Linked DNA regions of Arabidopsis thaliana. The protein of the gene in region 1 interacts with the protein of each later gene in a pairwise test. Each region holds a gene or a part of one and is shown on either strand. Other genes may lie near its edges.

Region 1 (4,875 bases):
TGAATTGGAGCGTAACATTACCATTAAACTTGGTTACGCAAACGCAAAGATTTACAAATGTGAAAAATGCCCTAGACCAGTAGCCTACAAGTGAATTCTTGCTCTTCTTTTGCTACAATAAGGTTACGTAGTGTACGTAGCAACTTATGATATGTGTTAATTATAGGTCTTTCGGGAGTGGCAAAGAAGACAACCCAAGTTGTGATGTCTCTGGACATGAGAAGTACAAGATGAAACTACTAAGACATGTCTCATTTGTTGATTGCCCGGTATAAAATGAGTTTTAACACTATTTCTAAATCTTTTGTAACCATTTTCTATATGTTAATGAGGTGTTTTGTGTGTTGATTAGGGACACGATATCCTAATGGCGACAATGCTGAATGGAGCAGCGATTATGGATGGTGCTTTACTAATCATTGCTGCGAATGAGACATGTCCACAACCACAAACAGCTGAACATCTTGCTTCTGTTGATATGATGCATCTTAAAGATATCATAATCATTCAGAACAAGATTGATCTCATCCAAGAAAACGAGGCTATTAAACAGCACGAGGACATCCAGAGATTTATAACGGTTTGATTCAATTTTCCCATTCTGTTTTTTTTTTGCATTTTTCACTTCTTGATTAGTTGGTTAAGTTTTAAACTTGTTATTACAGAACACGAATGCGGAAGGTGCTCCTATAGTTCCTGTCTCAGCGCAACTGAAATACAACATCGATGTTTTGTGTGAGTACATTGTCAAGAAGATTCCACTCCCTGTGAGGGATTTTGTGTCACCTCCAAGAATGATTGTGATTCGTTCTTTTGATGTCAATAAACCTGGCTCTGATTATGATGGTATGAAAGGTGGAGTTGCAGGTGGGAGTATCCTTCAGGTAAAACATACTCAATACCCCGAAAAACTAGGATAAATCGCGGTTGAATCAATGTAACTTATGTCTCTCTTTGCTTTGTTTGCAGGGTGTTTTGAAGGTGGGGCATATAATAGAGATAAGACCTGGAATCACTAGAAAAGATGAGAATGGAGACACTAAATGCACTCCCATTTACACGCGTATAACTTCATTGTACGCGGAACAGAACGAGCTTCAGTTTGCTGTCCCGGGAGGTTTGATTGGAATTGGGACAAGCATGGATCCTACGCTTACGCGTGGTGATAGGTTAGTTGGTCAAGTCCTTGGTGAAATAGGTACTCTCCCTGATGTCTATGTTGAACTTGAAGTGAGTTTCCAGCTTCTGACACGTCTCATTGGAGTGAAGACAAAGGAAACAGAGAGGCAAATGAGAGTGTCAAAGCTAGTCAAGGGAGAGATACTGATGTTGAATATCGGATCGATGTCTACGGGAGCTATGGTTATTGGAGTAAAGAAAGATATGGTGAAAGTTAATCTGACACTCCCTGTGTGCACCAGCATTGGAGAGAAAGTGGCTATAAGTCGCCGTGTGGATAGGCATTGGCGTTTGATCGGTCGCGGTCAGATTGAGGCTGGAACCACCATTTTTATCCCTTCTCCTCCTTCTTTGGCATGATTATATTTGATGCATTCACATATACCAAACTTGTAGTCTCATTATATCTTCAGAGTATTCCTAATCTGTCACCAAAGGAGATAACTAAACTTCTATGTGCTTATGCTTTTTGTGTGAAGTCTAACTAGAGTTTGATCAATTGCATCATCTTGATTTGTTATTAAAAGTTTTATAGTCTATGGATGTTACAGCTTAATTAACTAATTATCCTACATAGTTCATTTGAGAGAAAGATATAATTTGTGATTGTTGAAACTTGAAACTTGAAGTCTTGAAGAAACAGAAAGAAAGACTTGAAGTCATGGTCTCATTCCTAACGCCCAAAACAACAAAGATTAATAATGTGCAAAAGATGTATTGGGCCTAAAAGGCCTGGCCCATTAGCTGGATTCCGTAAGAAAAAAAAAAAAAGTGAAAAGGAAAAGAAGAAATCGTCGTTGTTGTGGAGAAGGAGAAGAAGGATAAGGATGATAACGGTAAGCGAAGTTTCCTCTTACTCTTCTTCTTCTTCAAACTTCGCGTCTCTGTCTCGTCTCAATCACAAATCATCTTCGAGATTGCGAAGCTCTTCTCTTTACAAAGGAAGCTTCTTCTCTGTTTCGACAAAGACCAGGAGGAACACTTGTAAAGCCAAATCATGGAATCTCGGTCTTGTTATCAACTCTAGAAGGTACTTCTTCTTTCAGATTTCAGATGGGTTCCATTTGAAATCGAAGATAATGATCTTGTTATAGATATTGCGACTTAAAGTTCGAAACTTTTCATGTGAATTTCTCTTGAATTGTGGAGATTTGAGGGTTATTTCATCACTAGTTCGTAGAAATGCTGATGTTTTGTCACTTACTGCTGCATTGTTTGTTGATTGGAGTTGATGTTTCAGCTCTGAGGCTTCGGTTTTTGATCCGTTGGGGATCAATCCAGATGAAACTTCTGGTTTAAGTAGCATTTGGGAAAGCTTTGTGAGTCTTTTGTCACCATCATTTGAAAGCTCTTCCGGTAACAGGCGAGATAAGCCGTCTTCTGGTAGAGGCGTGGCAGGTTCGTTTTGGCTTATCTACATTTGCTTATTGTATGTTTTAGCATGATTGATGATGGTTGCTTTACTCTTTGAAAACTTCAGCTGCTATTGAGGACAGTTCCATTGATTTTGGAGATTTCTTCAAAGGGCCATTGCCAGGGAAGTTTCTGAAGCTTCTTGGGTTTTTAGCTCTCTCTCGGCTTGGAATTTACATACCACTCGGCGGGGTTAATCGAGAAGCTTTTGTTGGAAATTTGGATCAGAATAGCATTTTGAGCACTTTGGATACATTTTCTGGTGGAGGCATAGGTAGACTTGGTATATGTTCTCTCGGGATTGTTCCTTTCATCAACGCTCAGATTGTGTTTCAGCTTCTTGCTCAAGTCTATCCAAAGTTGCAAGATCTTCAGAAAAAAGAAGGTGAAGCTGGTAGAAAAAAGATTCTTCAGTATACTAGATATGCTTCAGTTGGTTTTGCGATAGTACAAGCAATCGGACAAGTGTTTTACCTTCGTCCTTACGTTAATGACTTCAGCACGGAATGGGTTGTTTCTTCTGTTACGTTGTTAACGCTTGGTTCTGTTCTCACTACATATATTGGAGAGAGAATCTCTGATCTGAAACTTGGAAATGGCACTTCCCTATTGATTTTCACAAGTATCATCTCTTACTTGCCTGCATCATTCGGTAGAACAACAGCAGAGGCCTTACAGGAAGGAAACTATACTGGTCTTGGAACCATCGTTGTTTCATTTCTCCTCTTGGTACTCGGGATAGTATATGTTCAGGTACTATACCAAATTTTGTTCCTTTTAATGAATCTAAGAAGTTTGGTATGCTTATATAGTCTAACAAGCAAAGTTTTTCAGGAAGCAGAGAGGAAAATTCCGCTCAATTATGCCTCGCGATACACCAGCAAAGCTGGTGGGCTTCAGAAATCTGCTTATCTTCCATTCAAGGTCAATAGTGCGGGAGTAATGCCTATCATATTCTCCACATCATCTCTTGCTCTTCCTGCTACTTTAGCACGATTTACCGGCATATCTGCTTTGAAGAATGTTGCTTTTGCTTTAACCCCTGGAGGTAAGTTCTCCTAATACACAGCAAGTAAGAAGATTGGGTCCTTTGAAACTGTTTTTTGTTGATGACTTCACAAACAAACTATTGCAGGTTCTTTCTATCTTCCAACCAATATACTTCTCATAGCTTTCTTCAACTACTACTACACTTTCTTGCAACTTGACCCGGACGACGTGAGTGAACAATTAAAACGCCAAGGTGCATCAATCCCTCTAGTCCGACCTGGTAAAAGCACTGCTCTCTTCATCAAAACCGTAAGATCTTTTCTCCCTCTCTCCTTGATCAATTTTTACAAACTTCCCATTTTGGTTTATCATCTAACAACTATCTGAAAATGTCTCGCTCTGATTGCAATATCAGGTCCTTGGCCGGATATCGGTTCTTGGTTCTGCATTTCTGGCTGTTCTAGCTGCTGGTCCTGCTGTAGTCGAACAGATCACTCACTTGACAGCATTCAGAGGATTTGCAGGCACTTCTGTTCTGATCCTTGTCGGGTGTGCGACAGATACTGCAAGAAAGGTTCAAGCAGAGATAATCTCGCAAAAGTACAAGAACATTGAGTTTTACGAGCTTGACAAGTATGATCCATGAACTGGACCTTCTGTTTTACATATAATACCCATCAAACCAAGTTACTGTGTTCTCTTGTCATAGATTGTAACAAATGTTTTAAACTTTGATTAGTATATAATGCACTTTTGTCATGAGCTTGCCAAAGGAAAGTGAAACCTAGTATATAATTCATCAGAACAAATTGTCTTTCCCAATTTTCAATCAGAAGAAGAGCTCTCTTCGACAAGAAAACAAAATTGAAATGAATTCATCATATTATATCTATTTCCTTTTCTATGTATAAGCATCTCACATGGGGGCAAAGTAACCGAATTGACCAGTTCAAGATACTCTGTACAAAAGGCATATATAGCAAACCTAGAAACCTTTCAGGTAACCTAAAACCTTCAAATCCTATAATCTTTTAATATCACAACAACATAAAATCTAACGCAAACCCTTTCAAAGATCTATGCTTTCTTTCGACATTGTCCCATAGGCTGTTGAAAAGTGAACTTGCTCTGTTTCTTCTGTTGCTCATGCTTTGATCCATCTGAAGCTGAGGCCAACCATTCAAGCATCTTGATAACACTTGGGGTATCATCGAGATAGTACTTGGCCTTGCTCGGTTTCTGACCAACTGTGCACGCAAAGACCTCTTCGAGACCAATAGAGGAAACATCTTG
Region 2 (5,503 bases), 8.4 Mb from region 1:
TAACTTGATATCAAATCTTGTACCAGCGATGCAAAGTCTTAACGAAGCTTTAAAAGCTTCCAATCTCACTTATATCAAGGTTAGTTTCAAGTCATGATGATAAAAAAAAAAAAAAAAACTTGCGTTTACGAAAACACTAATACTAATACATGAATGTTTTTTTTTTTGTTTTTTTACATATGAATCATATTTCATAAATATTTTTTGAATACGTTGTTATTTGATACTACTATCAACAAAATGTAATTAATCCACCATTATTTGGCTTCAGGTGACAACTCCACATGCATTTACCATAAGCTATAACCGTAATACACCAAGTGAGAGCAGATTTACTAACGATCAAAAAGATATTTTTACAAAGATCTTGGAATTTCATCGTCAGGCTAAGTCCCCATTCATGATCAACGCCTACACTTTTTTCACGATGGACACGAACAATGTCAATTACGCAATATTTGGTCCATCAAATGCAATAACGGATACCAATACACAACAAACCTACACCAACATGTTTGACGCAGTCATGGATGCAACATATTCTGCTATGAAAGCTCTTGGCTATGGCGACGTAGATATCGCGGTAGGGGAGACCGGTTGGCCCACGGCTTGTGACGCTTCATGGTGCTCACCTCAAAACGCTGAAAACTACAACCTCAATATCATCAAGCGTGCACAAGTTATAGGGACACCTCTAATGCCCAACCGCCACATCGATATCTTCATATTTGCATTGTTCAATGAAGATGGAAAACCCGGTCCAACACGTGAGAGAAATTGGGGGATATTTAAACCGGATTTTTCACCGATGTATGATGTTGGAGTTCTAAAAGGCGGTGGAAGCCCGCTTCCGTTTCCACCGATAAACAACAATGGAAAATGGTGTGTGGGAAAACCAGAAGCGACGTTAATGCAACTACAAGCAAATATTGATTGGGTATGCAGCCATGGTATTGATTGTACACCAATCTCACCTGGTGGCATATGTTTTGACAACAACAACATGACGACTCGGTCCTCGTTTATTATGAACGCTTATTACCAAAGCAAGGGATGCGTTGATGTTGTCTGTGATTTTAGCGGTACTGGCATCGTTACCAGTACCAACCCAAGCACTAGCACATGCCCTATACCGATAGGGGAAGGTGGCGGCGGCAATGGCGCAAAAAGCAAAAGTGCAAATTGGTGTATGGCGAAACAAGAAGCGACAGAGACACAACTACAAGCTAATATTGATTGGGTGTGTAGCCAAGGTATTGATTGTAAACCAATATCACCTGGTGGCATATGTTTTGATAACAACAACATGAAGACTCGATCCACGTTCATAATGAACGCTTATTACGAGAGCAAAGGATACTCCAAAGACGCTTGTGACTTCCGTGGTAGTGGCATCGTCACTACTACCAACCCAAGCACTAGCACATGCGTCGTACCAGCATCAGTAACGCTCTGAATTTTTAAAAAGCAACTACAGAAACTGAAAAAAATCAATAAAACAAGATCCTTTTATTTCATTATAAGAACAATCATTTTTCGTTGTTTTTATGTTGTATCTTTAATTTTCATTATATTTTTCAAATATTTATGTAGACATGTACATGAAAAAGAAAAATTATATACATATGGTAAAATATCCAAATTATACTTTGTCATTTCCATCTATTCATTTTCTAGTTATTCATATATATAATCTGCCATTTCCAAATCATAATATTGATCAGTTTTATTCTTTAACATATTTTAATCCACATTTTTTTCTGTATATTGAAAATTGTTAATCAATAAAACTTTATTTTATTATAATTTGAGATTTTGTTCAACATTAACACTACCAAACGAACCGGAACCTAAATGGCTAAACCAAAAGTCAAACCGAAATGGCTATCTCAAATTGAGCTCTGCTGCATTTTAATCTGAAATTAGGGATTGAACCATCTTCACGGATCAATCATTAGACTTTAGCTTTTCTTGCTTATTCTTCACGGATTGGTTTCGATCTCTCCTTCTTCACTCTCTCTCTTTCTCGTGAAAGCAAAACAGATCTCAAATCTCGGGAGCAACAATGGAGTTTCTGGTAACAGTTGCGGAATTCAGCCTCTGGCTGCTGCTGATCGTCTTATTCGGATTTCTATCCGTTGTTGTTTTTGAAGCTTGGAGAAGGAGACACAGTAACGTGTACGTTTTACTCAATTTCTTCGAATTTGTTCCGATTTCTGAGGATAAGATTTGATTGATTTGTTTTGGATTTTCTCAGCTCTGTCGAGACCGTGACTACACTCGACGATCCGAAATCTATAAAACCGGTAACGTCTGATTGATTTATCGTATTAGTTTACAGTGATTTTCTGGCAATAGTGTGGCAAAGAACGATAGCGTTTTGAAAATCAGTTAATTATAGTTAATGGAACTGAGATTTTCTCGTTAAAAAGGTTTTGCGTTGGCGATTTGAACACTTGATTCTGTGTTTCGCTAAAACGAATGTTGAAGCTTCACGTAGTCTTTAAGAGGAACTGTTTCCATTAGTTTAGCTCTTTTTTTGTATCAAATGTTACATTTTGGTTTAGCAAAGAAGCTTGAGAAGTTATATTGTATAGTCGTGTGAAACTTGATAAGTAGTTTATGGAGTCTCTTCCAGATGCAGACTTTGGAAACTCTTAAGTTAGTGGCTTAGCTAGAAAAATTAAGTGTTCCATTATAATGTTGAATCCATACATAGATTGTCTTGTCAATTATAACGAGTTTGACTTGCTTGATCGCATTTTCTGGTGGTTGAGGAATCTGATTTTACTTTTCCTGACCCTGTTTTTCAAACTTTATTATCAGATTCCTTGCCCTCATATTACCGACCCTGCCGAGAAGTATTTGTCTTTAATAGTTCCAGCGTATAATGAAGAACTGAGACTTCCTGCTGCTCTTGAGGAAACAATGGAGTAAGTTAGACAACTTCCACTTATTCGAATCTCCCTTTTACTGGATTGTGTGTCTGCTTCCAATCGTGAGAAGTTTGCTTCTCTTGCGAAACAGCAGCACAAGTCTTATTTATGCATACTACAGAGGCATAATTGTAATTCGCCTCTGGTTTGCAGTTACCTTCAAGATCGTGCATCACGGGACAAGAGTTTTTCTTTTGAGGTAAATACTAAGTAGTTTTCCATACTAAGTAGTTCTCCTTACAACTGATTAAGGTGGATTCTTAACATAGATATGGCCTTTGTTATGGTGAATATGTATGAGCTTTTAAACGTTTTTTGTCCCTAAATTTGATTTACCTAACTCTATTAAAAAAAGGAGAGTAATGCTCACAACTTATTAATCTATCAATATAGACTGCCCACTCATGCTAAATTTCTCAATAAGTCGTTATTGTGTTCCTTAAACCCTATATGCATCAGTGGATTAAGTTTACCTTTTCTCCTTTTAGGTGGTGATTGTTGATGATGGAAGTGTTGATGGAACAAAAAGAGTAGCTTTTGATTTCATTAGAAAGTACACAATTGACAACATAAGGGTTATACCCCTTGGGAAGAATCAAGGCAAAGGAGAAGCTATAAGAAAAGTGAGTTCAACTCGTAGCGCATGCAATTCTATATATTTATTTTATGTGATTGAGTAAGACTGTAAATTTGTCATTTCATAGTACAAAAAAATAATCGAAGCTTTCTACTTTTTGAAAGCATTGAATAGGGAATGTTGCATTCGCGGGGTCAGCTACTTCTCATGTTGGATGCTGATGGAGCAACTAAAGTAACGGACCTAGAAAAACTTGAAAATCAGGTTTGCCCTTAGTTTTGACTGTTAAAACTTCAGAGAAACTAGAAATTGTGCTATAAATTTCCTGATCTCCTAGCCTCTCAGATCAATGCAGTAGCCAGAGAAGAATATTCAATCAGAAATCCAGCATCTAAGGATATGGATTTCAAAATAGGTGATGTTCAAGTATCCGCATTTGGTTCTCGTGCTCATCTCGAGGAGAAAGCTCTTGCTACAGTTAAGTCTTGCAAACTTCTGTTCTAGACAACATCATTCTTTGTCTATGTACACACACAGATGCATATACTTATTACGCATCTTAGATAATTGACTTTTAGTCTTTCAATTTCAGAGGAAATGGTATCGCAACTTTCTGATGAAGGGTTTCCATCTTGTGGTTCTATTAGCTGCTGGTCCTGGTATTCGGGATACACAGGTGGCTTTTTAAATCTCATTCGTTGTTTCCTTCTACACTCTCTGTTTCACCAATCTTGAATAGTAATAACTAAACATCATTTTTTTTAATCAGTGTGGCTTCAAGATGTTTACTAGGGCTGCTGCTAGGAGACTTTTCACAAACGTCCATCTGAAAAGGTATATGAGTAAATGAATCGATGATGATAAACTAGCAGTAAAAACATCAATAAGAGTCTCATCTGACTCGGTCTATGCGCAGGTGGTGCTTTGATGTTGAATTGGTGTACTTGTGCAAGCGTTTTAATATACCAATGGTTGAAATCTCTGTGAAATGGTCCGAAATTCCCGGGTCTAAAGTCAGTATGTTGAGCATTCCAAACATGCTTTGGGAGCTTGCTTTAATGTCTGTGGGATACAGAACTGGCATGTGGAAGATCCATCAAGTATGAGACACATAGACAACAACATACATAGAGCATTTCCTCTTGGGAATAACAACTCGTCCACGCTGGTTTTCTGCAGAGAGGATATAGTTTTGATGTCTCTGAATTTCTGGTCAAGCTCAAGGAAAGCTAAGGCGATAGAAAATATGTCGGTCTTTGTTTCAATAGATGTGATAAAAATCTTACCGGATTATAAATGATGAAATGAAACTACTACAGCTCTAGATTTTTTTTTTTTTGGTTTTAGTTTAAACTACTCAAACTTTGTTCAAAAAAAAAAAAAAAAAAAAAGTTTAAACTACTCAAACATTCCAATGACAGTGCTCTACTTTGAGTTTTACATCTTCATGGCATGAACTAAAGATTAAAGTCTTAATCTTAGGAACTGATTGATCCTCTTATAAACTAAATCGCTCTAATTAAATGACTTCAATTTTATAATTTATATATTACAGAAAATTTTGAAGCTTTCAAATTTAACGGTTTTTCCTATAAACCGCCAAAAAACTGCAAATGCATCCTCGTCGCCGGTGAAATGCCAATTAACTACACTAACCTCCTCCTTATGCTCCGGGAATGTAAGAACTTCCGGTGTCTTCTTCAAGTTCACGGCAGCTTGATAGTCTCAGGTCTTAAACCTCATAACCAGCTCATAAACGCTTATTCTCTCTTTCAAAGACAGGACCTTTCTCGCGTCATCTTTGATTCAGTTCGAGATCCAGGTGTTGTCTTGTGGAATTCAATGATCAGAGGATACACGAGAGCCGGTTTGCACAGAGAAGCTCTCGGATTCTTCGGGTATATGTCGGAGGAGAAAGGTATTGATCCAGACAAGTACAGTTTCACTTTTGCTTTGAAGGCTTGTGCCGGATCTATGGACTTTAAGAAGG

What was found.
Region 2: the proteins of SCY1 (region 1) and AT2G39630 interact in a protein complementation assay, tested with the Arabidopsis thaliana proteins (one study listed by BioGRID).

What each region holds. Positions count from the first base shown.
Region 1 is NC_003071.7:8,111,584-8,116,458, reverse strand, and holds SCY1 (SECY homolog 1), read left to right. Parts: upstream 1-1,973; 5' UTR 1,974-2,006; coding exon 2,007-2,209; intron 2,210-2,419; coding exon 2,420-2,577; intron 2,578-2,659; coding exon 2,660-3,345; intron 3,346-3,426; coding exon 3,427-3,640; intron 3,641-3,727; coding exon 3,728-3,891; intron 3,892-3,997; coding exon 3,998-4,228; 3' UTR 4,229-4,375; downstream 4,376-4,875. Other genes in the region: AT2G18720 (Translation elongation factor EF1A/initiation factor IF2gamma family protein), read left to right, coding at 1-90, 167-269, 353-580, 666-884, 970-1,539; TPS11 (trehalose phosphatase/synthase 11), read right to left, coding at 4,660-4,875. UniProt on the Arabidopsis thaliana protein: Involved in protein export. Probably interacts with other proteins to allow the translocation of proteins across the chloroplast thylakoid membranes. Required for normal greening during embryogenesis. Central subunit of the protein translocation channel SecYE.
Region 2 is NC_003071.7:16,521,124-16,526,626, reverse strand, and holds AT2G39630 (Nucleotide-diphospho-sugar transferases superfamily protein), read left to right. Parts: upstream 1-1,843; 5' UTR 1,844-2,065; coding exon 2,066-2,178; intron 2,179-2,257; coding exon 2,258-2,306; intron 2,307-2,826; coding exon 2,827-2,933; intron 2,934-3,089; coding exon 3,090-3,135; intron 3,136-3,424; coding exon 3,425-3,559; intron 3,560-3,687; coding exon 3,688-3,777; intron 3,778-3,858; coding exon 3,859-3,990; coding exon of another isoform or gene 3,991-4,017; exon of another isoform or gene 4,018-4,091; coding exon of another isoform or gene 4,092-4,105; coding exon 4,106-4,189; intron 4,190-4,282; coding exon 4,283-4,347; intron 4,348-4,429; coding exon 4,430-4,619; 3' UTR 4,620-4,883; downstream 4,884-5,503. Other genes in the region: AT2G39640 (glycosyl hydrolase family 17 protein), read left to right, coding at 1-79, 272-1,456; AT2G39620 (Pentatricopeptide repeat (PPR) superfamily protein), read left to right, coding at 5,149-5,503.